4 linked regions of the Notamacropus eugenii genome follow. The protein of the gene in region 3 interacts with the protein of the main gene of each other region in a biochemical or structural test. Links are inferred from orthologs where the notes say so. Each region holds a gene or a part of one and is shown on either strand. Other genes may lie near its edges. The genes, in order: ERBB4, ATM, ABL1 and DOK1.

Region 1 (6,893 bases), on a different chromosome or scaffold from region 3:
GTGCATAGTCACCGCCCGAATAACAATGGGACTCAAAGCCTCACACTCCAGAAAGAACTCACTTTGGGTTATGACAATTCGCCAAAGGCTGGGGGGGGGGGGGGGGGGGGGAGTAGAAGTGCTGTGCACTGCGATGAGGAAGAGGACAGCTGCAGAACTAATTTGGATTACATTCCTTACAGAAATTCTGAAAAGAGCTTTGAGGAAGAGCTCAACCCCTGAGCCGCACACTTAATACCAAATTGCTGTAGACTCCGAGGCGGTCCCCATGGCTGAGGCTGAACCAGACAAACCCCCACTAGGCTGCCTCATAGAAATTCCTATCAGCTAAGCATATATGTCAGCCTCAAGTGCTTTTGAATGGGTCAACCTGCATAATCAACTCATTGAGGAAAATATGGAGAGGATCGTGGGACGAAGACGAAAGGCCAGTGGCCAGGAGGCTGCCTTGAAATCTGCAAGCCGCACTGGGGTGATTCCGAGGCTGATCTGAAGGCAGGCTTTGGCAGTACTTAACACAGCATATAAAAGGCAAAGACCAGGAATTCTAGTATCATTTTTAAAGCCCCAGTGATGATAACTGGGTGTTTGCTTGAAGAAGAGGGAAGGAGAAGGCTGGAGTGGAGAGGAGAGGGAGGAGAGATAGCTGGCGTAGGGAGTAAGAAAACTAAGCGGCGTCTTTTCTGCTTAAGGTCACAAGGACACCATAGGCGTCCCTAAAGCATTCTCCTTAACCCCTCCCCTTCTTCCTACCCCTGAAGCTTTATCTTGTCAGCCAGCCTCCCACGCTACATCAAGTATCTCTGGTGTGATCACTTGCTGCCAGATCAGGAAACAGCACCGGCTGTCCAAATGGCACCCTCTGGCCATCTCAGACATCTCTCTTTCCTTTTGGCTACACTCAGTCCCCTGATCAGCCATCTCCTCGTTCCCATTCCTATCATCTGGGAAGCTCAAGTGTCAGAAACTTTTAGCTCACTCGCACGACACGTCCTGTCAAAGACCCTGCCACTAAGCTCTCCCCCGACCCCTCCTCCTTTTCTGTTCAGTTACATTCGTGCGTCCTGCTACCTGAGGCTAAGCAGCCCAGCCAACAGCTAGCGCACCGTGGTGCCCGATTCGCCTCGGATTAGAAAGGATCAAGTGATGGGCGAGCTATCCGACCAGCCCCAATTCTAACAGGGAAGTTTGAGGGACCCTGGCCAATAGTAGACACTAGCAGGAGGAACTCTGATGGGCGTCTAACCTCACAGAGTGCGGCTGTTATTCTCGTGAATAAAGTTTGCCAAGCCCTTTGGCTGCTAGACCCTCTACCAGACACTCTCTCGACCCTACCGGGGGCTGTTAAAGAAAAGGGATCTAGATGGATTGTGAGTTTTAAGAGATCAGCTTCTGGTCAAAACAGGAAAGCGGGTGGTGTTAAGAAAACGATGCTTTTCTGGTAGCAGCTGTATGCTGTGACTGTCTCCGGACTATGTCTGAAATCTTGGCTATGTCAACACTCGGGTGACTTGTGTCAGAGCCCTATTCCTGCTTCTCTCCCCCACGCAGGTACAAAAGCGCACACGGACATAGACACATGAGGCGCTTTGGAATCAAAAGGCCAGGAGCTCCACAGAAGGAGCAAGGCAATGATCGATCCTTTTTCTTTTTCGCGCCGCGGAACAGCCAAAAAGTCCTATTTACTCCGTCTCTTTTCTTTCGGGGACGGAGGGGTGGAGAGGCAGGAGAGGTGGAAAAAAAGGGGAATTGTCTGCGCTGATTGGGATTTTCCGTGTGCGTCTTCTACGTCTTAGACAAGCAGGCTGAAAGAACTAAGCCTTCTGCTAACCCACAGAGCGAAAAAGAAGAGACTGGGGTGGGGGGGGGGGGAGGTGAGGGAGAGAGACGGAGGAGAAAGGGGTTACATAGTGATTTCCACGCACGCACTAGAAGGAGAGCAAAACCAAGCAAGTTGGAGGTGGAAATGATGCAGGGGGCGGCGATGAAACAAATTCGGATCAGCTTCTCCGAGACTGGAAACGATCTATCAATAGAGGCGGGAAGTGGGAGGGAGGGGAGACCACAAACACAAATCATCCAGACAGCAGCAGGTTCCACAGCTGGAGGGAGAGCGATAGAAAGCAGAGACTGCGACCCACCTGACTGAGAAGCTCCGGGCTGGGGGGTCCAGGCTACCACGAGAAGGCTCACACAGACCCACAGTCTCGAAGCCAGCTTCATTTTTTGGAAGTCTCAAATCCTTTGCCGACAATTACATGTCCAAATCGCATATCCCCTTATTGTATCCCTCAGATGGATGTGGATGGGCGAGAGTGGGTACTGGGAAGAGAGAAAGAGAGGTGCACAGTGTATTTGTGTGTGTGTGTGTGTGTGTGTGTGTGTATCTGTGCGCGCCGGCTATTCCAGGAATGGAGGTGAATGAGGGTGCGCGTGTTGTGTGTCAGCGCTGCTGCCGGTCCCAGTTGAGGTCCAACTGTGAGTAGATTTCCCCCAGTGATCGTCCTCTGTCTTGCACTCGCTCCTTCGGGTTGGTCAACAATAAAAAGAGAGAAGAAAAAAAGTTGCTCTCACCAAGGTGGTAGATTTCCTGCTTTTCGCTCTCTTGCAAGCACTGCTCTCTCCTCCTTTGGTGCTCCCTGTGCACACCCCCGGTGTGAGTCGGGGGAGGCTGGAGGAGAGCCCCTGGCGTCTCCCACGGCTCCGGCCGTCCCCTCCTCACCCCCGCTCCGGGCTCCTCAGACTTGTCCAGCGGCTGTAGGAGTTAAAGCCTCCGAGCGTCGATTCCAGCGCTCCCCCTTCTTTCGCAGAGGCAGCGGCCGCAGCGGTAACAGCAGCTTGGAGAAATTAGCAAGACTCCAAAAAAAAAAAAAAAAATGGAAGCGGGATTGGGGAGAGGGGAGTATGGGAGGGGGGGGCGTTGTGAGAAAGGAAAACCCTCCACGGAACGAGGGACTGAGAGACAGACACAGCTTGGTGGCTTAAACCCCGCCTCTGCTCTGACCCAGCTAGCCACACCCCTTCTCCCATTCCACCCCCCCTCCCCAAATCTAAAATCTCATTGGCTCAGCCACTCCCCAAAATCCTGAGCCTCCAGAGTTGGGAGAACACCTGTCAGGAGAATGAAAGGGGTGGCGTGGGCGGGGGAGGGGAGCTGGTCTTAAAGGGCTAGTGCCAACTGTGAGGTTAAGACACTCCTCTTCCCGCCCCCCGCTTCTCCACCCCCCCGTCGCCCCCCCCCGCCCCAGCCAGAGTCCCAGGACAGCTGGCAGGCAGTGCTGGGCAGTATGCCCAGAGGGGGTGCTTAGATGGGGAAAAGGCCCCGATTGCCCCCATGGTGGTCTGAAGGGACGCTGCCTTGCCTCTCCCTCTTCCCCAGAAAGAGAAACAAGGCCAAAGCTCAAAAGCAGACTGCAAAAAGGGATTCTCAGAAGGAAAAAAAAATAAGTTGTGTCTCCCCCTTCCTCAACTTCACTCCGCTCAAAAATAATAATAATTCAAGGGCTAGCACACATAGCCCTCTTTCCAAAGAGGTGAGACCAAGAGAAAGGAGTCTTGGCAGAATAAAAAAGTCTTGCTTACAAGAAAGGGAAAAAATCCTCCTCCTCTCACACTGGCGAGTCCTTCTCTATCATTTAACCATGGCTCCGAGGCTCCGGAAAGGAGCAAGCTGTGAGCTAGAACCATAGCTCTGACCACAATCCAAGAGAACAATGCCAGGTATCACTTGCTAATATCCAGTCATCATCCTTTTATCCTTCACACTCCCAGAGAGCAGGCCTCCGCCCCTAGAAACTTTTCCACATTGAGTTCTGGCTGAAGAACTGAGATAGAGGCATAAATGCAGCCAATTCAAGGAAATTATTCTGGGACAGTGAGAAGATCTCATCTACTCCAACTAGGGAAATAACTATGGCAGAATGGGAAGGGTATTTTTCAGGCAAAAAAAGAAAAATGGAGTTATCTCCTGGCTTGGCCATTAGATAACTTTATGACCTTGGATAAGTCACTTAGCTACTCTTAGTTTTGACCTCCTGGTCTATAAAATGAGGGAACTGGGCCAGCCCTGAAATTTTATGAATCTTTTAACTTTATAGATCCACTTTCCGTGGCTCGCTATGCCAATTTGAAGGTAATCCAGAGTGTGATTTCAAGTCCAGAGAGTGCCTTTCAATCCCAAATGGTAGTCAGCCTACATCACTCATGTCTTCAAGTAATTTGGTCAATACAGAATTGAGTCTCACACATATCCAATGACTCATCCAAAAGATCCATTTGCACAAGAAGCCCATCTTGGAAATAAACTAACTACCAAGGTCCACTCCAGGATCAACCTAATTCCTCAAGGGTCCTTTATTTATTGTGGTAGTGAATTCAATCAGTGGCCAGTACTTGACCCCACATGAGCTGGGTCAACCTGACTCTCAAGTTTGAAAGGTGATATGGTGATATTTGTACAATTATCCCTGAGATAAAAATATTTTCACTGTTGGTTTTCCTTGAAAGTAACAGCAGCGAGAAGCAAGAACTGCTGGAGTCAACACCACCATGCCCCCCCCCCCCCCCTGCCAACTCCGTTTCTTATTTCACCTGAAGTACTTCCCCTTTCTTTCCTAGGCTTTGTCACTTAAGAACATCAGCAGAGGCTTGGGTCAAATAAATATGGAATAAATACCCCAGAGACCCTTTATAGAGCTGGAAGATTTTACTGCCTTGCGTGTACAAGTGGCAGTACTTTGGAAGGGGGATTGCTGTGTTGTTGTGTTGTTGTTGCTGCTGCTACTGTTAGTTTCTGAGTCAACCTCCGATCCCCAGGACTTTAAATGAATACAGCTTGAGAGAGATGAAAGGGACCCTGGTAAACCGGCACAGGTAAAGCAACCTCTCAGACTGGATATTAGATAGGAGCAATCAGAGGCACTGATTGCAATGGGACTGTGTAAGCTGCCTTTTCGGCTGTCATTTTTGTTCCAATTTTTGTCTGCCCCTCTCTTCTTTTTTTTTTTTTCAGCTACTTTCTTCTCTTCCAACATTCTTTCCTCTTTTGATGAATAATAATAAGTAACAATATCAAGTCACATTCCCATAGTGATTTATTTATGCCTTACAAAGTCAAGTTTTGAACCTCACTGCAGCCCAATGAGATATTAGTGCAGTCACTGTCACCCTGATTTTACAGATGAAACCAAGGTTCTGCCAAGATATGTGACTTGTTCAAGTAGATGGGGCTTGTGGGTAGCAGGGCTGGGATTCGAAACCATTTGTGAATCCAGAATTTGATGCTCTTCTAGCATACCACAGCTGCCTCAAAAAAATTGCTTGTTTCTATAGTTCTTTGAAGATTATAAAACACTTTCATCACAACATCTTAAGAAAATATTATCATTCTCTTTTTTAAAAAATGAGGAAACTGAGATTCAGGGAGGTTAATTGACTTTTCCACAGTAACACAAAGAGTCCCAAAGTCAAGACATCTAATGCTAAGTGCAGGATTCTTTTGGGGCAAGGTGCTGAACCTCTCTGGGTCTCAGTTTCCTCACCTGTAAATGGGGATAATAATAGTACCTACCTCACAGGGTTTTTGTGGACTTCAGAAGAACTGACATGCTTTTCACTTTGCAAATCTTAAAAGCACTACAGAAATGCTACTTGTTGTCTCCGTTTTTTATTATTCTTATTACACCACACTAGCTCACGTAGACTGGGTCTTTAAGCTTTACAATCTGTACTACATTAGCCTTTAATTATATTCAGTCCTGTATTGTTATCTAATCATTTCAGTTTTATTCTGATTCCTACTCTCCAGTTTGGAAATTTCTGAGTAGTACAAACTATATCCTATACATTTTTTACTTCTTTTGAAGACTCTAGAGCAGCCATAACATATAGATGTTCAGTTCTTATTTGCTGATTAAAAATCTTGTCCATCTTCCTGTGTACATAGGTACAATGGTCTTGGGGTGATATAGAAGAAAAGCAAGGCAGAGTTCATGCAGGTCACTTTCCAGCCCTGAAGTTCGTGGTGATGGAAACTGGGGACAAAACCCTCCCCCTACTGGAGGAAGGTGAAATTGGTACTCATGTCTTGGTGAGGAGAAAGTGGAGAGAAAAATGACCCAATAATCCTTTCCCAAGTTGTTTCTTCCTCTCTGATGTCATGTATCAGACATGACTGTTCTCAAGTTTTCCTGTTTCTCCTAACCTAAGTGATAATCCTCAGAGATGACTTTGTACTAGATTCATTTGTTCATTGAAATGTATTGAGTGCATTGTTGTTTTTCAGTCATTCAGTCAAGTACAGCTCTCCATGACCTGGTGGACCATATTATCTGTGGGATTTTCTTGGCAAGGATATTGAAGTGGTTTGCCATTTCCGTCTCCCATATTAAGTGTGTACCACATGTAAGTCACTGTGCCTGGGTTAAAAGAGATTCAAAGATGAATAAGACAAAACCCCTAACCCTAAGAAATTTATAACATAATAGGAAATGATAAGACATATACATATATGTATACATGTACGTATATGTGTGTATGTTATACTCAAATAAATACAATACAAAGTAGAGACAGATAAAATATAAAAGAGATTCAAAATGCTCTAAGAGATACCAGTAGAAGAAGTTCTACCTACATGGTAGGGTATCAGGAAAGGACTCTTGGAGAAAGTGACATTTAAACTGGACTTTGAAGTGTTGGTAAAATGTCAATAGGCAAAAATGGAAGGGAAAACATTCCAAGTTAGGAGATAGTGGGGGTCATGGAACGATAGCTTGAAAACACAGGACACAAGCTGAAAAATCCAATTTAGCTAGAGAATAGATTATGGGAAAGGGAGTGGTAAATGATATGGCAGGAGAAGTAAATTGGATTCAGACAAAGGGGAGGGGGGT
Region 2 (7,139 bases), on a different chromosome or scaffold from region 3:
TGTTTATTTGATATTTCAAACCAACTGGCCCAGAGACATCTCAAAATCAACATGGAATCTAAAACTCAACTCATTAGGAAAGTTTCCCAGTTTCTGTGGAAAGCATCTTTCCTTTCAATTTCTGAGGTTTGTAATCTTAACATTGTTTTGAACTCCTCATTCGCTCTTTCTCACCCTACATACTCAAGCAGTAGCCAAATCTTGCTATTTCTACCTTTGCAATAGCACTCCAATCTCATCCCTTCTCTCCACTCACACAGGCACTAACTTATTCAAGCCTTCATCATCTCTTGTTGCTTAAGTGTTCTCCTGCCTCTAGTCTTTCTCCACTCCACACACTACTGCCAAATTAATTTTCCTGAAGCAGATTTGACTGTGTGACTCCTCGATCAAATCTAGTGGCTTTTTAGAGTCTCTAGGATCAAATATAAACCTGTTTAGCTTTTAAAGCCTCATACACATTGGCCACAACTTGTTTTTCCAGTTTCAGTGGAAATTACAATTCCTCTCACACTTTGCAAATAAGTCAAACAGACCCCTTCCTCACAAATGGTCTCATCTCCCTGCCTTTATACTAGCAGTGTCTTCCTTTAAGATGTGGCTCAAGCACCATCTTCTGTATGAAGCATTTCCTCCCAATAGCCAGCGTCCTCCTTCCCAAACTACTTTGGATATATTCATTTATTCATTTTATATCTTCGCACTTAAGTGTTCTCCCTCTCTCGGTCTTTGTCCTCTTCCCCCCTCCACACACACACACACAGCGTGTCCCATTAGAATGTAATCTGATTCAGAGTAGGGACAGGTAAGGAATGTTTCATTCTTTGTACTTGCATCCCCAATGTCTGGATATAGTGATTGGCACACAGTAAGCCAAAATACTTATTGATATTTTCTCATTTTTATTCTTCTGTTCCTAGTTGACAAAGCTGTGGATGACTATGCAGTGGACAATTTAATGGTGAGTGAAAATAAGTCTGCAACATATTATCAAAGAAGAAATGCACAGAAAGAAAAGCATAAAAAGTATGGCTAAAAGAGAATACGGGTCATTCACCCATAGGGCAAGAGGAACAAGATAATTGAAGGACAGCATGTATGCTCCATTAGTACCCACACAATTTCAAGAGATCTAGCTAGGAGTGGTGGTGCCTGTCTGCTACTGAGGAGGCTGAAGTTAGTAGATTGCTTAAATTCATGAGTTCTGAGTTACGGTGTGCTAAGACTGATCAGTTGTCCTTACTAAGTACAACACCAAAATGGATCCTTACAGGGAAGCAGAATGCCAATGGAGAGGTGAAATGACCCAGGTTGGAAACAGAACGAGTCTAAACTCTTGTGCTGATCTGTGGTAGGACTGGGCCCATGAGTAGCTAGCTGCTGCACTTCCAGGCTGGGTGAGACTGGGAGAGCAAGACCTGCCCTCCACCCTGCTACAGAGATTTTGAAGGCTCCCAATACATTCAACAAATCATAGGATTTTAGAGTTTGACGGGACCTCAGCAGTCACTATTTTAATCTGTATCTAAAAAGGAATCCTTGCTACAATACGTTCAACAAATGGTTGTCCAGTCTGTTTAAAGACATTCAATGACAGGGAACCCATCATTTTCAGAGAAAACTATAATTGTTAATAAGTTTTCCCACCTGGTATCAAGTCTAAATGTGCCACTTTGCAATTTCTGCCCACTGTTCTTAATTCTGCTGCTTGGACACAAAGAGAATTGTGTTCTAAACCTCTCATCTCCTAATTCACCTAAACTGATCTCTATATGGCACGGACTCAAGTCCCTTCACTATCCTGGTCATCATCATTCTTTGGACACTCTTCAATTCATCAGTGTCCCTTCTGAACTCTGGCCCTCATAATCAAAGACATTACTCTAGATGTGGTATGAGTAGGGAAAGTATTCCTGAAAGCTATGCATATCCATGTTGACCCAAGATCACATTAACTTTTTTTGGTGCCTTTATCACACAATAGATACATATTGAGCTCATAGTTCACTAAAATCTCAGCTCTTTTTCAGGCCAAATTTGGCCTAATCATGCCCCCTGCATTTTGCATGGGTGAAAGTGATTTTTTTTGAGATAAGTAAAGAGTTTATTTACATTTACCCTAGTCAATTTCATTTCATTAGAGTTGGCCAAGGTTATCAGGATTCTGGGGTCTTTATTCTGTTATCCAAAGAGTTAGCTATCCCTCCCAGCTTTGTATTATCTGAAACTCTGATAAGCATGCTATCAAAGACCTCATCCAAGTCACCGACAAAAACTTTTACATGAGCAAAGAAGAACAAAGGACAGATCCCAGGGACACCCTACCAAGGACTTCCAAGAAGACCTCAAACCAATAAAGATTACTCTGACTATGGACATTTCAGCAATTCTCAATCACCCAACTGTATCACTGTCTACCTTGCATCTCTCCAGTTGTTTTTTCTTTTTTTAGCAGAAGTAGGATGAATAGGGAAGTACTAAGAAAGCACCTAGCTACCCTACTTGAGTTTAAGTCACTTGGTCCAGATAAACTATTTCCTATGATACTAAAAGCAGTAGCTATGATACCTGAGACATTGTCAGGATCTCTGAAAGATTATAGAGAAAAGGAAGGTGCCACAGGAATGGAGCACAAATACTGTCATAACGTTCAAAAAGGTATGTTTTCAAAGCGTAGACCAGTAAGCTTCAGTTTGGCAAAATTCAAGGAAGGATTACTACAGAGGCATCTAGAACATCTATAAAAAGAAAACATGCAAATACCAATGTGCAACGACCTATATACAGGACGAACTGGACATAACCAACAAAGAACAGGCATTAAAGGAAGTGAGATTTTTCGCCAGGTCTCAAAGGAAGTCGGGAGGCAGAGATGAGGGAGAGAATTCCAGGTATGAAGGGCAGCCAGTGAAAATGCCCCGAAAACACCGCATCTTATCAAAAACCCCATACAATATTAGTTTAAAAACCAGTTTAAAAATATGTCAAGTCTCTGTCACAGGCCCAGATTCTGAAAATATATGCGGCTCAAGCCTTAGCAACACAACTGTGGATACATTTTCAGAGAATATAAACACACACACACACACACACACACAAACTGAGCCACCAAACTGGAATGGCCCACCCCACCACGGCAACACAAGCTGGACAATGGAAGGAACCGAGTCATCCAAATGGAGGGCTGGAAACGAAGGCCCAATCTGCCTTTTCTCCTCGCCAGAAAACTGCAAAAATATAACGGTGGTGCCTCTAAAACGTGGAGCAGCGCCCGAGAGGCCGTGGGCCCGAGCCGGCCCAAAGCCTCCCGAAGGGGCTCCCAAGCCCGCGGCTCGGAACGCGACGTTGAGGACTCGGCAGGCGCTCCCCCCAGGAGGCGCTCCCCCCAGGAGGCCCTGGCCTGTGCTCGCCCCGCTCCAAGGCCGCCCAGCCCCGGCCCTGACGCGGATAACTGAGGGCAGGCAGGGAAGAGCCATCTCCTCCCCCACGTCAGGGTCCTCCCCGAGGCCGAGCCCTCACCTTCCCGCCTCGCCTCCCGTCGGGATGAGCGTCTGCTTCCTCGGGCACCCGTGGCAGGGGAGCCGCGCTACTCGACCCAAGGGGCCTGGGGCTGCCTTCGCCCCCAGGGCTAAGGAGAAGCCGGTCGCCGGTTGGGCTGGGAGGCAGTCTCCTCCGCCCACCCCACCTCCCCAAAGGTAAGCCGCAGAGCCGCAGACCAGCTCGGCTCGCCCCGAGGCTCCACTCACCCAACACTAGCCGGGCGACGTCGGACGGTAACAGCATGATCAGGCCTCTAGAAGGACTCTGAGACCCCAGGCACGTCTCAAAAACCTTCCGCGTAGCAACACCGAGACCGCATCTCTCGGTCCCTGCGGCGGCGTCAGCTGCTGCACCGAACCCGAGGCAACTCGTCCCGCCCCCTGGGTCCTCTGTAGCCAATCGCTCCTAGGAAGAAAGAAAGGCGCGGAAACGCGCCCCGCCCCAACCCTGACTGACAGGAACATCATTTCCGCTCAGGAATGAGGAAGGCGGGGCAGGAAATGGAGCTTGGGTGGTTACACGCCTGCGCAGCGCATCTTAATAAGGGGCTTGAGGGAGAATGGTCATTCTATTAAAACGTCGCGCCCTATTAGCGTACCGCTGCCTAGGAGAAAGGGGCGGGGAAAGGAGAGGATTAGTGGTACGCTTGCGCAGAGGGAGCCACGAAGGCTACGATCTCCCCGGATTCTCCCGCCATGGAAGGAGCCTGCGCACTGAGGGTTGTTTAAACCCGGAAGTGAGAGCTGTCGCGTGAGTGTGGAGCTTGTGAGCGGTCTGCCTGTGGGGAGAACAGGCTGGAAGGAGGAGAGAGGACCCAGACGGCCTTCCCTCTGGAGGCTGCGGCCTTCGGAGCCCTGCGGTAGGGGGCGAGGGAGAGCGCGTCCCGCTTCCGTGGGCTTTGGGATTCTGCTTCGGCATTCGCGGATCTGGGCGCCCTTTCCCCTTGTCCGCTCCGGCCACCACCGCCCGGGGATACCCCACTTCCCCGGGCCTGGACCCCGGGGCGGAGCGCTTTAAATCCCCAGGGAGGGGGCGGGGAGGGAGGCGCATCACCCCTTCCGCTCTTCCCCTTTCCCCTGCAGCCCTGAAGGCGAGCGCCGGCATTTCAATCTCTCTTTTCCCCATCCTCCTCTCTTGACTCTGGGTGGCTTCTGTTTGTCTTTGCTTCCCCCACCTGCCCATACCATTCAGCACCGAGCTGGAACAACCGTGGAATCCTGGACACCTGGTCTACCTGGCTGAAGCGGGTGCCCCCCATGTGACCCGTTACCTTGGGTACCTCCTCCTCCTCCTCTCTCCGGGAAGTGAGGGAGGGGCACTTTCCGAAATACCGAGTATTAATTACAGGGAGTTAAGCAGTTGCCAGTCACGATCCGTAAGAGTCCGGCTGTGAAGGAACCTTAGATGGGATCATGGAAACCTGGGGAGGTTAAGCGCTTTGTCTACGGCTAGACCGGGGTTAGTAATGGCAGCGAACGTTTGTAGAACACCACGTGCCAGGCGTGTGCTAAGGGCTTTACGGTGATCATATCTGACTCACGACCATCCCGGGAGGCGCTATTGGCGTCCCCGTTTTACAGGTGAGAAAGTTGAGGCCCCCAGGCTAAGTGACTTTCGGAGCGTAATGCAGCTGGATTTGAACTCAGATCTTGCAGATTAAAGGCTCCGTACTCTATCCACTTCATGGCCTTCTATGCCCATTGGAGTATGTCAGGATCCTCTCTCTTTTTACTATTAGGAGACAACCTGTTTTCCAGAGGTAGGGCTCAACAAGCAAGTTGTGCCCTGAACTTGGCATAAAAGCTTTTTATTTTTTTGAACAGACCTGCTGCGAATCAAATTTATCTCATTGCTGTTACCTCTCCATTGTTAGGGCTACAGCTTACTGCGAAGCCATTGGTCGTTTGTATTGAGATTTGTCCACATGAAGGGGGGAGTGTCCCCTAATAGAGGGGACCCTGCCACATGTATGTCTAGTTTCCTCCTCCAACAGGAAATCTCCAACAGAGTAAGGAAAACAATTTGCTTATAACCACTGTTAGCTCTTCGGTTTTATTTTACTTTATTTTTAGCATTAACTGTGGTTAACCTGTGTGAGCTCTCTAGTTTTGTTTTTAAGAGTTAACAAAGCTGCCATGACTGTTCATTTAGTCAGGGTTAACAAGTGTTAAGTTTTTATACCAAGATACCTAGATGTTATGTTTGCTCATTTTTTGGTGTATTGTTAGTCTTCTAGAATTTTAAGCCAAAATTCTTAGGAAGTTCAGCTCTACTTTTCAGTGAATAAATGAAAATACATTCATTAAACTCCTTATGTGCCAAGCTGTATGCTAATCCATGGGAATCAGATGCAAAAGGGAGACAGACCCTGTCCTCTTGGAGCTTATGTTCTAATGAGGGAATCCTCACATATAGGGTGGCAGCCAGGAAAGAGTAAAGTCAAAGGGGAGTAGAGCCTTAGGGCAATTGATTTTGCAGAAGTAGTTATAATGGTAGTTCTGTTAGGTTTACTTTTCCCAGAGCTAGAAGTGGAAATAGGGGAGAGAGGGGGTGGGGAAGGGGAGGAGGGCAGGAAGGTAGTAGTGAGGGGGAGTGTCCTATGCAATCACTTGGGCAAAAAGTTGTCTTGGTGGAGTGACTGGGGTGAGCCTGATGTAATGACCTCTCATTAATCAATAAGACCCCAGGGCAGGAGCCAGGGGTCCCTTGTGACTGTGGCTTTCTATGCAAATCAGAGGTGATTATCCTTGGACTTTGGGCTTACTCAATATGAATCATAAATAACTAACATTTAAAGATTTACTAAACTTTTCCCAAGACCTTTTGATCTAGATAATGAAATGATCATTATCCCCATTTTATGTATGGGGAACTGAAGTTCAGAAGTCACATAACTATTTAGTGGTGGGCCCATTATTTTAATTCATTTCTTCAGATTTCAGTTTTTTATTTTAAGAGGAAATAGGTAAAAAGAATGGGAAGGGTTTTCCTGAAAAATAATAGGTAGGACTTTATGGACCTTTTAAAATATTGGAAAAGCTGTTACATGTAGGATATTAATTTTTTTTTTTTATAATAACACATTCATGTACTTCTATAAGGAAAGGACTTTGTAGACCTGGAAACAATCTTGTAACGTAGGTAGTGCAAGTGTTATCCTCATTTTATCAATGAGAAAACTTGAGATTGGGGGGAGTGTGATTTGCAAATGGTTCATCAATCAGTATTTATTAATCTCCTTCTGTGTGCCAGACACTGGGGCTAGACTATACTGAGAATGCAAAGACATAATTGAAACACACTCTACCCTCAAAGAGCTTATATTCTGTGAGAAATACTACGTAAACATATCTACATGTAAGTAAACATATACAAAATAAATACAAGGTGGTAGTTGGAGGAGGGAAATCAGGAAAAGCTTCATGTAGAAATTGGTGCCTCGGTGGAGTTTTGAATGAAATAAGGGATTCTGAGCTAGAGATGAAAAAGGAGTGAATGCAAGGCTTGGAGTTCAGCCAGGGCAAAGAGATGAGGACAGGAGATGGAGTGTAGAATGCTAGAAAAGTAGTAATGTGTAACAGGGCCAAAAAAGTATAAGG
Region 3 (6,916 bases):
AATAAAATTTTTTGGCTCTCCATACCAGAGAAGAAGTATGAATTTTTTCTTTTATGGGGTGTTTATAGTACCTTATTATAAAATTTGGGTTGATATTATATAATACTATACATGTATTTTATGCATTTTGAGTTTCTAAACTTTTTCTGTGTCATTCTGCCGGCCTTGTGTCATCTGCAGCTTCAGCAAAACTCCCCCCAAATTCCCATTTAATTTCTTATGTTGACTTATATCAAAACCTCGATGGGGAAAGTCGTGATGTAGAAGGGATAACAATACCTGGGAAAAAACATGAGTGCTTTTCAATTGCATTCTATGTCATCCCAGAATATATTCTGAACTAAAAGTCTGTCTTTTTGTTTCATAGTCACTGACCATCCTTAATCTACATGTTATGCTTTTCTTAAAAATTAAGATGCCCCTTGACGTTCTTAAAGATTTTGGACTAAACCTGCTGAACAAGCAAAACTAGAAACCCAATTAATTACCCTAGATATTTTGCAGATTAACTTGTAAAATGGAATTTGAAGGGAAGTTAAGTAGTGTAGTAGATTTGAAGTCAGAAGATGTGACTCCAAAGCCCAGATTTCCTTTTTTATTATCTGTGTGACCTTGAGCAAGTCTAACTTCAGGCCTCAGTTTTCTCCTCTACATGAAGGTGGTGAATGAGATAACGAAGTGCCTTTCCAGCTTTCAATCCTGTGATGTGTCCATGGTTAGTTAGAGTTGAAGGTTCTTCTGCTCCTTCCCCATGCCCCATGTAAACCTGAGAAACATCAGAATTTTACAACTGGAAGGAGCTTTTCAATATGGAAGAGAGCTCAGGAGATCATTTAGAGCAGCCCAGTCATTTTACAAATGGGGAAACAGGCGAGTGAAAGAAATGACATTAAATAACCATTTATCAAGTGCCTGCTGTGTGCCAAGCATTTGCATCCTACTAATGGGAAGCAGTTTTTACATAGATACGTATTACATCTATACAAAACAATTACAAAGTTGGTGGGGGTTGTTGTTTTGTTTTGGATAGGAGAGTAAGAACTGGGGAGGTCAGGAAGAGCCCTGTAGGAAGTAGCCCTTGAGCTCTGCCCTTCTGAAGGAGCCTGGTAGGAATGCCACGAGGTGAAGGAGGAAGGAGAGAGCGTACTGGACACCGGGTACATCTTGGGCAAAGCCCCGGACTGACCATCCCTCCTGTGGACGTTTCAAAGGGCTCTAGGTGGCGGAGATGGGGCCAGGAAAGGATGACCCCCCTCCCCCATCTTGAATTGCCTCCCACCTCTTCGACCCTTTCGACCTGCACAAGGTCATAAAGCAGTTAGGTGACTTTGTCCTCAGGTGTGATCTCTCACCTGCGTGCTCTAATATTTGTCGTATAAACCACCTAACATCTGTAAATAAGGAAAAAAACTCCAGTACGAGCCTGTGTGTTTCTTATTGGGTCAACAAACATATCATAGTTTTCCTTCCACAGCCCCAGTGCTTCAGTTCTTGAATAGGAAGCCACAAAGGCTGGAAAGGAACAGACGTAGCTACATGGCTAGTGGCAGACGCGTGGCGTACAGGTGGATCCCCTAGGTATCTCAGGGAAGAAACCCTACTCCAGCCCTGAGAAAATCCCGTCCGTAGTTTGTGTTTCGCTCTACATCCGCCTGCTAGGGCACTCTCGCTGGGAGGACTCGTGCCTGCTCTCCAAGGGGCCTGGGATCCCGCAGAATCCCTAGAGGGAGGGACTGAAGAACCGGTTGGAAGAAGAGTGCACAAGTCTCAGATGGCCTAGCGGACGGGAGGGAGTCACGGAAAAACTACAGCTCCCGGCGGCCTTCAGGACGGTACCCAAGGCGATTGGCTAACAACTTCAGCACTAACAGGTTCACCAGCCAATGGAGAAGGAAGCTTTGTCCCGACCTGATTTGTCCGAGACCAATAAAAACAGGCGGGCGTTTCCTTCTTGCTTGGAAGAAAAAAAACGACCAAAAAACGGTGCGGTTTTAATTGTTCCTGTCTAAACTCGTCGAGACACCAGGATTGGGACTCGAAAATGTGGCTTACTCATATAAAGGAGAACGTCCATTAAAAGAACTAACACTCCTCCCCAGCTCCCCAGCCCCCGCGCTCAAAACGACTCCCCTGGGGCGTGCGCCCCGCCCCACTCTTCTCTCCTCCTACTGCTTCCGCTACGTCCCGTACGTGCCTGCGGCGGGCGGGGCCAAGAGGGGCGGGGCGCGGGGAGCCCGGGGCGGGGCTCAGCCTCGTTGTGGAGCGGGTTGTAATCCATCATGGCGGCCGAGGGGGTTGGTGTCTTTCCCTGAGCAGCAGCGCCGGAGCCGGTGGCCGTGTACCCGCAGCTAAGGCGCCCCCTGCCCGGCCCCCGGCCTCCGCCCCCGCCGCTGCAGCCCCGCGCCCCAGCTGGGAGGGGGAGAGACAGAGAGAGAGAGGCAGAGTGAGGCAGGCAGAAGGGGAGGCAGGTTGGCAGGGAGGGAGCGGGCGGACGCTCGGGAGCTCCGGGATATGATTGACTGACCATTGGCTGGGGTGGGGGACCCGAGGGAGGAAGGACCGTCGGGCCGGGGGCGGCGGGTGTCTCCGGGCCGAGTTTCTTACTTCTCCACCTCGAGGACTGGGCAGCTCCTCCCCTCCCCCCTCCCCGCCTGCCCCACGGGCATCTCGGTGACTCCTTCCGGACCCTGGCTTTTGGGGTGTCGGGGGAGGCAGGACTCTCCAGCAGGGTCGTACCCTCTGCCCGGAGCTCCTCCGCCGATTGCTCCCCTGCGGGAGACGGTTGTGAGCGAGAGAACCAGCCTTCTTCCTTCCCCCGCCGACCCCTCTGCTCCCCCATACTCTCTCCTGTTCCACTCCTTTTTTTCAAAGGTTCCCCAACTCTGCCACTCATCTCTCTCCCCTTCCCCCCTTCTGTCCCTTCCCCAATAGGCTGCCAAGTTTTCCTTTCTGTCCCAGGTTCAGCTTCTCTCCCGTGCCACCCATTCAAACACTCTTCCTCATCCCTTTGCTTTCCTTTCCTCCCTCTCTCCCTTCCCCCTCCAGTCTTGCCAACCTCCAATGCCCTTAGTCTTTTTCTATGTCACCAAAGGCCTTAGTAGGCTCTGGACTGCCCCAGACTTTAATGCAAAGGAAAAGCCTGGGTTGGTTCCACAGGCCCTTTAAAAAAGCTGACTTAAAATTGCTGGCAATGCATTCCTGGAGTGACTGACTGCTCGTGTAAATCTACTTGTGAAGTCTGGGTGACCCAGCTCAGTTTTCCGGAGAGAAGTAGCAGCCAGATTGGCAGGAAATCGGTCAAAGATGAAGAAACCGAGATAGGGTTTGGGCGACTTCCACAGGAAAAGTTTCAGAGCCGGTATCCAGATCCTTCTGTCAAAGACCATTCCTGATTTTTTTCTGAGAAGTAGAGACCCAGAAACAGCTACACTTTTGTCTTTGTTTTGAAATCTAAAATGACATTGGCATACCTGACCCTTTTAGACTTAAGTAATAGTCCATGCAAATACTTTATTCTCAAGAGGAATGCAAAAATTGCAGTGGGAAAAGTACATTCCTTGTGAATATATTTTTAAATGGCTTCACTTTTGGAAAGAAACTAATTCCTGTTCAAGTAAAAGACGTCCAAATCAATTGACACTGATAACATTATAGTTGTATCGTTCAAACTGATAAAAAACTGTAAAATTGGAGCTCCTCTTTGCCTGAGCGGACTAAGAAGCATTTTTTACACTTGGTTTTGGGAGAATTCTCTTGTGATTGACTTCAGTAAGTGATCTCTCTGGAATGTGAATGTGAAACCCAAATTATACTATTGTCATTCTAAGCTATTGGACCAGTCTGGAAGATCTGAAACCCTCTTTTTCTGGGAAAGGTTGTCTATAGTTCCTTTATGGGGCAGCAGCCTGGAAAAGTCCTTGGGGACCAGAGAAGGCCAAGTTTGCCTGCCCTGCACTTTATCAAAGGAGCAGGGAAGAAGGAATCATCAAGGCATGGGGGTCCACACTGCAATGTTTTTGTGGAACATGGTAAGTGCTTATTAGTATTGCTTAAATTAATGTTTATCATATAGACTTCGCTAGGATGCTAGAATTAGAGCACAACAGATTTTTCTGATTCAGACATCCCATTTGAAAATTTAGAAAGCTAGCATATATTTTCCTTTTAGGTGGCTCTTAGACTCCCTTTGTATGAGAAAAAATTTCTTTATGATTTAATGTTATGCAAAATCTCATGGTTTTATTTATTTTCTACCCTTGCTCTTCAGATAGCTTGCTGTGTCACATTGGGCAAATAATTTCTCCCAAATATGGGCCGCAATTTCTTTTTGTAAAATGAGAGGATTGTACTAAATGATTGCTAAGGTCTAGTTCATTTTTTATGAATCTATGATTCATTGATAATTGAATACCAATAAATTGGTAATTGATAATTGCACATGTTACTTACAGGTGCTTATTAAATGCTGGTTGAATGAACAGACAAATATAAATTCTTTTATCTAACATGAGTGCCAATCGTTTTCCCTTAATAATATTTTTCTGATTTTTCAGTGTGTTTGAAATGACATTTATGAAAAGTTGTCATTGGAATTTTTAATGTATTGTAATTTTGTTGTCCTACTGTCTGTGTGGACTTACAGTTTGCTTCTAGTAAGCCTTTTTGGTTAAGTCAAGGCAAACAATCAACTTAGACTGATACTTCTCAGCAGGGAACAGTTATTTAACTTATGAACTCAGGGTTCTGTTCATAATTCTGTTATGAGGAATAGTATTTGTGAGGTCTTGTGACGATGTAGGCTATCATTATTAAAATATTTAGTGATGCTGGGCCCTAGTCATCAAATTCTTAAAGTGTTTTAAGTAATATGTTTGTAAAGTTCAAGTAAGGATCCAAGTTACCAAGTGGGAATAATAACTTCAGTGTATTGAACTTTTTAAACTGGTAACTGCCCGTGACTATTGAAATGTAAACATGACCCAGATTAATGAAGTTGTTAGTATTTCCCTGGGGGCCATTTAGTCCAAGGACCTTTTTAGCCAAGATGTATTCAAGGTGAAGAAAAAGAGATGAAAATAAGCTAATCTTGTGAGTACTGAAAATTTTTTAGCTGCATGGTATGATTCAGTGAGTGGTGAATTTGGAGTCTAAGGACCTTGGTTCAAATCCCAATGTTATCTTGTTAGTCATTTAAACTCTCTGGGTCTCAGATTTCTCATTGTAATGTTAAGGATATTAATATGACTTCAAATCTTCAATCTGTAACCTAATTAGAAACTTGAATTTTAATTCTTCTTAAGATTCTTGAAAAAGCCCTGAAATCAAATTAAATTTTAGTTCAGTTGACAGACAAATTTGATGATGTTTAAAATAATTGCTCATTATGATTTCTCTCTCATCCTCTGTACCATCTCCCTCCCTTTAAAAGTTCATTTTAAAATACATTGGTAACAAGTGATAACAAAGTGAATCACTTTGTTAGATCACCTATTTTTTAAAATATGTACTTTTTTCAATTGACAAAAATCCTCCTCTCCCTCTCCCCTCCTCTCCCCAGGTTGAGAAAGAAAGAAGAGTAACTAAGGAAAACAACTTGACTATACATGTTATAAACATCTGTAGTCAAGCAAAACAAATTTCCACATTGGCCATGTCTCTCTCTCTCTCTCTCTCTCTCTCTCTCTCTCTCTCTCTCTCTCTCTCTCTCTCTCTATCTCTCTCTATCTCTCTCTCTCTCTCTCTCTATCTCTCTCTCTGTCATTCTGCACTCTGAATCCATCACCTCTTTGTTAAGGAGGTGGAGAGCATGTTTCATCATGAGTCCTCTGGAAGTCATAGTTGGTCATTCTGTTGGTTAGAGTTCCTAGTCTTTCAAAGTTCTTTGTCTTTACAGTATTGTCTTCACTGTTAAACTGTTGTCTTAGTTCTGCCTATTCCTTCTGCTTCAGTTCTTGCAAGTTTTCCCAGGTTTCTATGAAACTATCTCTTTTATTATTTCTTAGAACACACTGGTAACCCATTTTGATTACGGACTCAATACAGTTTCTAAGGCTGAGTTGAAACAGAGTATGGATTGATTCTCTGCTGTTTGTGCTAATTTTGGCCTAACAATTTACACCAAGAAAACAGGCTCTCCACCAGCCAGCATCACACCATCCATCCATGGAACAATTGAATATAGCAGATGGAGAAATTTTGAATGCTGTGGATAAGTTCACTTTACCTTGGCACTATACTTTCCAGGGATGTACACATAGATGATGAGGTTGACACACCCATTGCCAGAGCTAGCTGTGTACTTGGAAGGTTCTGAAGGAAAGTGTTGGGGAGAAGAGGTATTAGACTGCCTGTCAGACTGAAGGTCTGCTGAACCGTTGTGCTGACCTCATTGTTGTATGCCTGTGAAACTGGGATGGCCTGTTGACACCATGCCAGGAAACTGAATTGCTTCTGTTTGAATTGTCTTAGGAAGATTCTGAAGATCACCTGACAAGATAAGGTACCAGACACTGAGGTCCTTTCTTAAGCTGAGCTTCTAAGCATTCAAACTCTACTGCAGAGTTGGCTGGTCATATTGTTTGAATGCCAAACCCATGTTTGCCTAAAAGACTGTTTTATGGAGAACTCACACGAGTCAAGTGCTCATATGAAGGTGAGAAGTGATGCAAGGACACTTTCAAGGTCTCTCTGAAGAACTTTGGAATCCATTGTGAGATGGAGATGCTGTCACAGAACTGCCCAACGTAGTGTGCTCACATCAAAGAATGTGCTGGGCACTTTGAAGCAAAATTGCAGTAGTTCAAAAGAAATGTGAGATGTTCATGTGGACTATTTGTGCCCGTCCTGTGGTGGAGCCTTCCAAGCTCATATTGGTCTGATCAGCCACAGTTGGGCACACTGTATCTTGACTCCAACA
Region 4 (7,202 bases), on a different chromosome or scaffold from region 3:
CAGACCTGCGTTTTCCAGACTCCACATCCAATCCTGCCTCTCACATAGCACAGAAATGTCAAGGTAGAAGAGAACTGAGCAAAGGCTTTTGGGGTCTGGCAATGAAAAGGTCACTGGTGATGACCTTGGAGAGACTCACTAAGTAGTTGTGGGGATAGAAGTCAGATTTAAGTGGGCTGAGCAAGAGGAGGTCCAGAAGTTGTGCAATTAAGGGAAGGAGAGAGATATAGGACCATGCTTTGAGAAGAGGGGCATGATAAAGGGAGAGTTGTTTGTTTTTAGGGTTACAGGAGACCTAAGTACTGGAAAAGCAGAGGTATCATTGGGGGGTGGGGTAGGGAATGGAGGGCAGTTGAAGATATTCATGGCCAGCAGCCTCTGAAATTGGAATAGGTTATAGGATGAAATTGGGGCTCATCTAAATAATTTTCCAACAATCAGAACAGTCTAGCAACGTGATGGGCTGCCTCATGCCACAGTGAGTTTCCTGTCCACAGGAATGTTCAAGAAGCAGCAGCATAACCACTTGTTAAGGATTCTAGATTATTTCCATGTCCTGATAAGTAAGCCTTCTCTTTCCCTAGGATCATAAACCTAGAATTCAAAGAAACTTCAGAGGTCAAACCATCTACTCCAACCTTATTCTACATATAGGGAAAGTGAGGTCCAAGGAGGTTGCGCTTTGCTCATAAGAGGTGGAATCTGACTCTAGAATAATGTTCTCTAGCCTGAGTACTATGTTCCTTCAATTCCCAGTTTCTCTTTATTGTGTATGTTTCTTTTTTCCTCTAGATGTGCTTATCAATATCCTCAAGTGTGGTGCCCAGAACTGGACACAGTATACCAAGGAAGGTCTGACCAGAGCAGAGGTCAAGGGTACTAATGCCTCCTTCCTCATTCTGGGCACTCCGCCTCTATTGACGCTGCCTTCAGTCACTTGACCTTTTTTGCTTGACATATAGAACTTGCACTCAGTCCACTAAATCCCGAAGATTCTCAATTTAAGAATAGTTTATCTGTTCATGCCTGTTGGGGAAGTGCAGTTGATTTTTTGAACCATTCCTGACTTTACATATGTATTTATTGCATTTCAATATATTAGATTTGGTCCAATCATATATTTTTTTAGATTTGGACTTTGTCAATATAGTAACTCAATGATCAATCATCTCCTTCCTCCCCTGCCTCCAATACTTCTGATTTTGTATCGCCTGCAGACTATATCTTTTTCCATGTTTTTCTGAACTTCCACCCTCAGCCGGACTTGGTGCCTTTTCCCTGTTCCGTGGCCTTTCTTGGTGCTTGTTCTCACCTGTGCCTGGGCCATACTTGGCACTGTGGGCCCACCCCGTGGCTTCGGTAAAGCCCAGCTCCCGGCACAGCACATGAGCTGCTTGCAGTGTGAAGTCATCATCACAGATGGTACCCCACTCGCCAGCCCGTTGTATTTCCACACGGCCCTCATAGTGCTTCCGAGGAAAACCAGCTAGGCGGAATCGAAGCTTGCTACCAGTGCTCGATGCAGGGCTTGGGGATGGAGAGGGGGTTCCCAGGCACCAGGTACATAACATGCATAGAAGCAGTCCCCGAAGGCCCCACTGCTGGCCCCCGGCGACCTGTGTGTCAGACATGGTCTAAGAGAAATAGAAACCCAGACTTTAGTGATAGCAAGATGGTGACAGAGACAGAGTGACAATATGGTAGAGATGGAGACCTGAATTAAGAGAATGAGAGACAAAAACACCTTTGATGACACACAGAGACATAGAGACACAGTAAGGCAGAGAGACAGGTGAGGGAGGGAAGGAAGGAGATAACCTGTGAACTCAACAGATGAAGAATGACAGACTGATTAGGAGACACAGCATGAAAGTGATGTAAGAATGGTAAACAGAAGTCAATGAGATAGGTTTCTGTTGAATCTTGATTGAGGAGGAGGAATAGTGGTTAAGAAAGCAGCCCTTTATGCTCAGAGCTGGGAAGTAAACGCAAGCTCATCAGAGCATGTGCAAGAGAGGCTCAGAGAAACACAATTCACACTATGTTACACACACACACATGCACACACACACGCGCGCGCGCACACACACACACACACACACACACACACACAGAGTCCCAGGCAGGCACACATAATTTTAGCTGCATGGATCACACACAGCTGCCCACACCAGAAGTCATAAGCCTCTATGTTGATAGTGACACAGGAAACAAGGTCCTGGATGATGCCACTTTGACAGTCACACACTGAGGCTCCTTGGTTACCTGTCCCAGGGGAACACGGGGACCCAGAGGGACCAGGGTTGAGGGATGGGGCGGAGCAGTGGGAGCCACTGGGAGAGAGGGAGGGAAGGAAAAGGAGGGAGCGTGAAGGTCCAAGCGGTTACTGAGGCAACAGAGACTAGGCCAGAGAGACAGGCCCAATCCCTGGGGGGATGGGATAGGAACAGCTGACTTTGGGGTTTGGCATCTCTATCCCCTGCAAAGGAGCCTTTGGTGGGAGCAAACTGGACCCTGCCCTATCCCCCCTCCCCACCCCCACCCCAGCTCTAGCCTTCTCCTCTACTCTCCCTCCAGTCCTCTATGGAAACTTTGACTTTTCTGGGCCAGACTCCCAGCAGACTCTTGTCCTCTTTTTCCCTTTCCACCCTGCTGGCCTCCTACCCTGTCCGACCCTCAGACACGGTTCTCATCCCCTCCCTTGGCTGCCACACTCTCTGCCCCCTGCCAGGCTGGACCCCTTTCTGTCTCTCCCACTTCCCCTGCACTGGTCATCAAACGACTCTTTCACAGAACCGGGAACTGGCCGATGACAGAAAGTATAAAACAACTTCAAGTGTCGGTTATCTTCACCCCCACAAGCCCCCTATACCCTGTGTCCCCCATCCTATGTTCACCCCGATCTTTCCCGTCTCCAGCACCCTCCTGTTCGTTTCTTCATCCTTATTACCTGGGTCCCCCTATTTCCTACACCCTCCTATATCCCCTATTACTGTTACCCACACACTCCTAGTTGTCCTACACCCAACTCTCTACTCCCATTTTCCTCACATTTTCCTTGTAAATCCCATTCCCCGCTGGCCCCTGGCCCCCCATCCTCCAGTGCTCCCACTTCTTTCCCAGTGACCATCATCCATCCCTCCACCCTCCCAGCCCCCCTCATTCCTCATTCCCCTGCTTGTCTGCTCTGTTCCCCTCTCCCCAAGCGCCCGTACCTCTGCGCTGGAAGTTGCGTCCGAAGGAATGGGATGGGGGAAGCCAGTCCCGGCCTCAGAGCCTAACCCAGGGACTTCCAAGAAAGTGCCGGGCTCTGGGAGACTGGACGCCCCTCCCTCAATCCCTCCCACCGTTCCACTCTGTCTGTCCCTCCCCCTCCCTGGCCAGGCAGGCCCCAGCCTCGCCTCCTCCCCTCCGCCCCTGGCCTCTCGGCTCAATGAGGCTTTCTTCCCCCGCTGGCTGAGGCTGGAGGACACCCGGGGGCCCGTGTTGGGCGAAGCCCCTGGCTTGGAACTTGGAGAAGCCTGTGTTCATTTCTCGAACTTCACCCCTTTGCCCATCCCCCAAGGCCCCTGCCTTCTTCCACCCCTCACCCCCTGAGGTTTCGGTGGAGTGTGGGCTGGCTTGGACCCTGAACACGTGTGTGTGTGTGTGTGTGTGTGTGTGTGTGTGTGTGTGTGTGTGTGTGTGTGTGTGTGTGTGTGTGTGTGTGTCTGTCTGTCTGTCTGTCTGCACGGACTGCGTGCGCGCTGCGCCTGCGGAGCCTGACACACGCCTGGGTCTGACTTGCGGACGATGGAGGGGAAGCTCTGCGAGGCAGCGGAGCTGTCCTCGCCGTCCCGGGCCGGGAACCTGCCCCGAGGGAGCCTCCCTGCTGGGGCTCGAGCCTGCGGTGCAGAGGCGTGGTGCCCCGGGTCTTGCACCCAGTAGGCACCGCAGGAGGAGGAGGCTGAGCGTGTGCTGACTGTGCCGGGCGTGCGTGTGGGGAGGCAGGGTGGGTCTCCCGAGTCCTCCCACTTCTTTCCTTTCCGGGCGTCGGGGCCGGCCGGCCGCAGGAATGTTGGCCGCCCCGGCGGCTCCCGTCCAGTCCCCGTCTCCGGGTCCCGCAGGAAGCCCGGAGGCCGGCTCGGGCACTCGGGGCGGGGAGCTGGGGGTTCGGGATGGGGGTGATCCCTCCCCCCAGCCCCGCCCCGCCCCGCGGGCCCCGCCCCGCCCCCGCCCCGCAGCGCCAGGAAGCGTCCGGAGCCGCCTGGGGCCATGGACGGCGCCGCCATGGACGGGGCTGCCATGGAGGGACCGCTCTTCGTGCAGAGTCAGCGCTTCGGGGCCAAGGTGGCGGCAGGGGCAGGGGCGGGGGCCGCGGGGCGGCGGCCTGCGGGGAGCCCCTGGGCTGGGAGCGGGAGGGCCGCAGCGGGGCCCGAGGCTGGTCCCGGAGAAGTTTCTCCCCAAACTCCGGAGGAAGTGCCAGCCCCACCACGCTTCCTCTAGCCTCGGCGGGACGGAAATGCGCCCACCCCCACCAGGGAGCTCCGCCTCCTTTAGGAAACCCCACCTCTCCCAGGATTGGGGGGCGGCTGGGGCAGGGCTCGGATCCTCAGCTCCTGGCCTGGGGTCTTTGCGGGAGGCCTCCCTCCGAAGTTGGAGACCTGTGCCAGTCATGGCCCCTGTCATTGCCCTCAGCCCTCCCGCCCCCCCACCTTCTGTATGGGGTTCCCTTGCCTGCCCCCGTAGAGGAAGGGTGATGCAGGGCGAGCCTGCATGTTCAGCCCGTCTCGTCCCTTCATTTCTCTCTCATTTCCTGGTTTTCCCTGCGTGTTCACGTATCTCTTCACCAGGGTTTCTGCCCAAACGGGTAGGAAGATGAGGCTGCTGTGTTATACGGAGAGCCAGTTCCCCTAACTTCCCTCTCCTTCAGTATGTCCACATCCCTTTTTCCCAGGGCCTTCCCGTAGTATTTCCTTGTATCTCTTCCTCTCCGTGATCTCTGTACGCTGACCTCCACCCTCCCTCGTCCCAAAGGTAGAGCTAAGTCCCGGGCATCCCATGACCCTCCTCCGTACCTTCCCCATGCTCTCCTCTTCCCAAATGGCTTCTCAAAGCATTCCCCACGTTCTCCCCACTATAGAAGTGGAAGAAGGCCTGGGCAGCCTTGTACCCCTCCAGTGCCAGCGGAGTTGCCCGGCTTGAGTTCTTTGAGCACAAAGGGTCAGGCTCTGGAGGCGGGTGGGGAGGCTCTCGCCGCCTAGACTGCCGAGTGATTCGTTTGTCGGACTGCGTGAGTGTGGCCCCGGTGGCCTTGGACAGCCCCCCAGGACCTGGCACATCGGTCTTCCGACTGGACACTGCTCAGCGCTCCCATTTCCTGGCAGCTGAGGGCCCTGCCAGTGTTGCCTGGGTGCAAATGCTCTGCCAGACTGCCTTTCCGGTGAGAGGGTTGAATGATTGGGGATGCTGTCTAGGGGAGTCCATTTGGTGAGGGAGCAGGTTCAAGGTCGGAGTCAGTGTCTCCTCCCCCCCACTCCCCAACTTGATTGGACTCAGACCCCAGGTGGAAAACACTGATGCTTTCTCCCCTGCAGAAAGGCTGCTGGTCTCTGGCTCCTGGTGAAAGCTCTTCGGGGCCCTCTTCAATGGAGATGCAGGAGAACTCCCTGTACAGCCCCCATGGGCAAGGTAGGGGTAAAAGGAGAAAGGGATGGGGAGAGGGAGGTCCAGGGACATGAGAAGAGAGGGCATACCATGGGTCTGGAATAGGGATTCCACAGCCCTCACATGGGGCTGAAGGTCACCTGGAGGATTGGGGGGAGGGGGCGTGAAGCTCTTGTGGGTCTGGTGTCTAGGTATGATCCAGTCCCTGTTAGGACCTGAGTGTCTTTCCCCTTTTCCATCTGGGAATGTTTCAGTGTGACCCTTCCTCTCTCCCCAGGGTCTGAGTTCTGGGTGACTGTACAGAAAACAGAGGCATCTGAGCATTGTGGGCTGCAGGGACACTACCTGCTCAGGGTGGAGGCCAATGGTCTGAGTCTGCTGGTGCTGGGGGGGCAGGGTCAGAAGAAGGAGCCCCTGCTCACCTGGCCCTATACTCTTCTCCGTCGATATGGCCGGGATCGGGTAAGGGCTTGGGATGGGTCAGAGGTGCCACTATAGAAGGAAGCAGAGGATATACAGAGGGGAAGGCTAGGAGTGTGTGGTGGGTCCCCTAAGGCCCAAGAGCTGACTGCTGCTAGGATGACCTCAGGTAAGCCTCTTCTCTCCTGTGCATAAGTTTGCTCACCTCTGCCCTCTTCGTCTGCCTCCAGGCCATGTTCTCCTTCGAGGCTGGACGGAGATGCCCCTCAGGCCCTGGAACCTTCACTTTCCATACTTCACAAGGGAATGACATCTTTCAGGCTGTGGAGGCTGCCATCCAAAGGCAAAAGGTTCAAGCTGGCATTGTTTCTGGAACCGGCGCAGGCCTGGATCAGCAGTGGCCTGGCTCATCAGAGGTGGGGACAGCAGGGGCTGCCTCCCAGGGCCTTGAAGATCCCCACGCTCATGGCCCTGCCCTCTACTCAGAGCCCTTGGATGCCCTTCGGTCGCTGCCTGACTCCACTTCAGACCCCTTGTACTCAGATCCTGTGGACAGTTCAGGCCAGAGGACAGGACATGGGGCTGGAGGAGGCTCCCCCCTCTACTGGGGCTTGTTTGAACAGGTGCAGCAGCAGCTTAAAGATACAAGGCTGGGAAGAGTCAAGAAGGAGCCTATTTATGATGAGCCTGAGGGCCAGAGCCCAGCCCCGGCTCCAGGCCTCTATGACAAGCCCCAGGAGCCCAGGGATGCCTGGTGCCAGCGAGCCCGGGTTCGGGAGGAGGGCTACGAGCTCCCCTATAACCCTGCTATGGACGACTATGCTGTGCCCCCTCCAAGGAACCTCAAGCCCATTCCACCCCCCAAGCCCCAAATGCTCCCCCGGTCTAACAGCCCCAGCAGTCTCGCACTCCCAGTGTACAGCCGGGTACAGAAGGGTGCTACTGCCAAGGGCTGGGGCCAGGGCATGCCTGAAGGGGGATCTCAAAGCAGGACTGGGATGAAATCAGAAGGGCCAATGTAAAGACCTGGGTGAGGCTTGGAGGGCCTACGTGGGTGCTGGGGAGATGAGTGATCCCCCCGAGAAAGGGGAGGCCTATTTGAGGCTAAAGGGTATCAGTGAATCAAGGTCCAGACC

What was found.
Region 1: the proteins of ABL1 (region 3) and ERBB4 form a complex in vitro, tested with the Homo sapiens proteins (2 studies listed by BioGRID and IntAct, with this or other methods). The link is inferred for Notamacropus eugenii from reciprocal best matches to the Homo sapiens genes ABL1 and ERBB4.
Region 2: of the proteins of ABL1 (region 3) and ATM, one has a biochemical effect on the other in vitro, tested with the Homo sapiens proteins (3 studies listed by BioGRID and IntAct, with this or other methods). The link is inferred for Notamacropus eugenii from reciprocal best matches to the Homo sapiens genes ABL1 and ATM.
Region 4: the proteins of ABL1 (region 3) and DOK1 form a complex in vitro, tested with the Homo sapiens proteins (5 studies listed by BioGRID, with this or other methods). The link is inferred for Notamacropus eugenii from reciprocal best matches to the Homo sapiens genes ABL1 and DOK1.

What each region holds. Positions count from the first base shown.
Region 1 is NC_092877.1:310,178,205-310,185,097, forward strand, and holds the start of ERBB4 (receptor tyrosine-protein kinase erbB-4), read right to left. Parts: upstream 3,007-6,893; 5' UTR 2,224-3,006; coding exon 2,142-2,223; intron 1-2,141. UniProt on the Homo sapiens protein: Tyrosine-protein kinase that plays an essential role as cell surface receptor for neuregulins and EGF family members and regulates development of the heart, the central nervous system and the mammary gland, gene transcription, cell proliferation, differentiation, migration and apoptosis.
Region 2 is NC_092876.1:146,774,887-146,782,025, reverse strand, and holds the start of ATM (serine-protein kinase ATM), read left to right. Parts: upstream 1-4,139; 5' UTR 4,140-4,290; exon of another isoform or gene 4,291-4,399; intron 4,400-7,139.
Region 3 is NC_092872.1:482,395,659-482,402,574, forward strand, and holds the start of ABL1 (tyrosine-protein kinase ABL1), read left to right. Parts: upstream 1-3,892; coding exon 3,893-4,028; intron 4,029-6,916. Other genes in the region: uncharacterized protein, read left to right, coding at 3,080-3,211. UniProt on the Homo sapiens protein: Non-receptor tyrosine-protein kinase that plays a role in many key processes linked to cell growth and survival such as cytoskeleton remodeling in response to extracellular stimuli, cell motility and adhesion, receptor endocytosis, autophagy, DNA damage response and apoptosis.
Region 4 is NC_092877.1:46,851,218-46,858,419, forward strand, and holds the start of DOK1 (docking protein 1), read left to right. Parts: upstream 1-4,254; coding exon 4,255-4,329; intron 4,330-5,122; coding exon 5,123-5,422; intron 5,423-5,576; coding exon 5,577-5,670; intron 5,671-5,923; coding exon 5,924-6,108; intron 6,109-6,296; coding exon 6,297-7,088; 3' UTR 7,089-7,202. Other genes in the region: LOXL3 (lysyl oxidase homolog 3), read right to left, coding at 1,313-1,631. UniProt on the Homo sapiens protein: DOK proteins are enzymatically inert adaptor or scaffolding proteins. They provide a docking platform for the assembly of multimolecular signaling complexes. DOK1 appears to be a negative regulator of the insulin signaling pathway.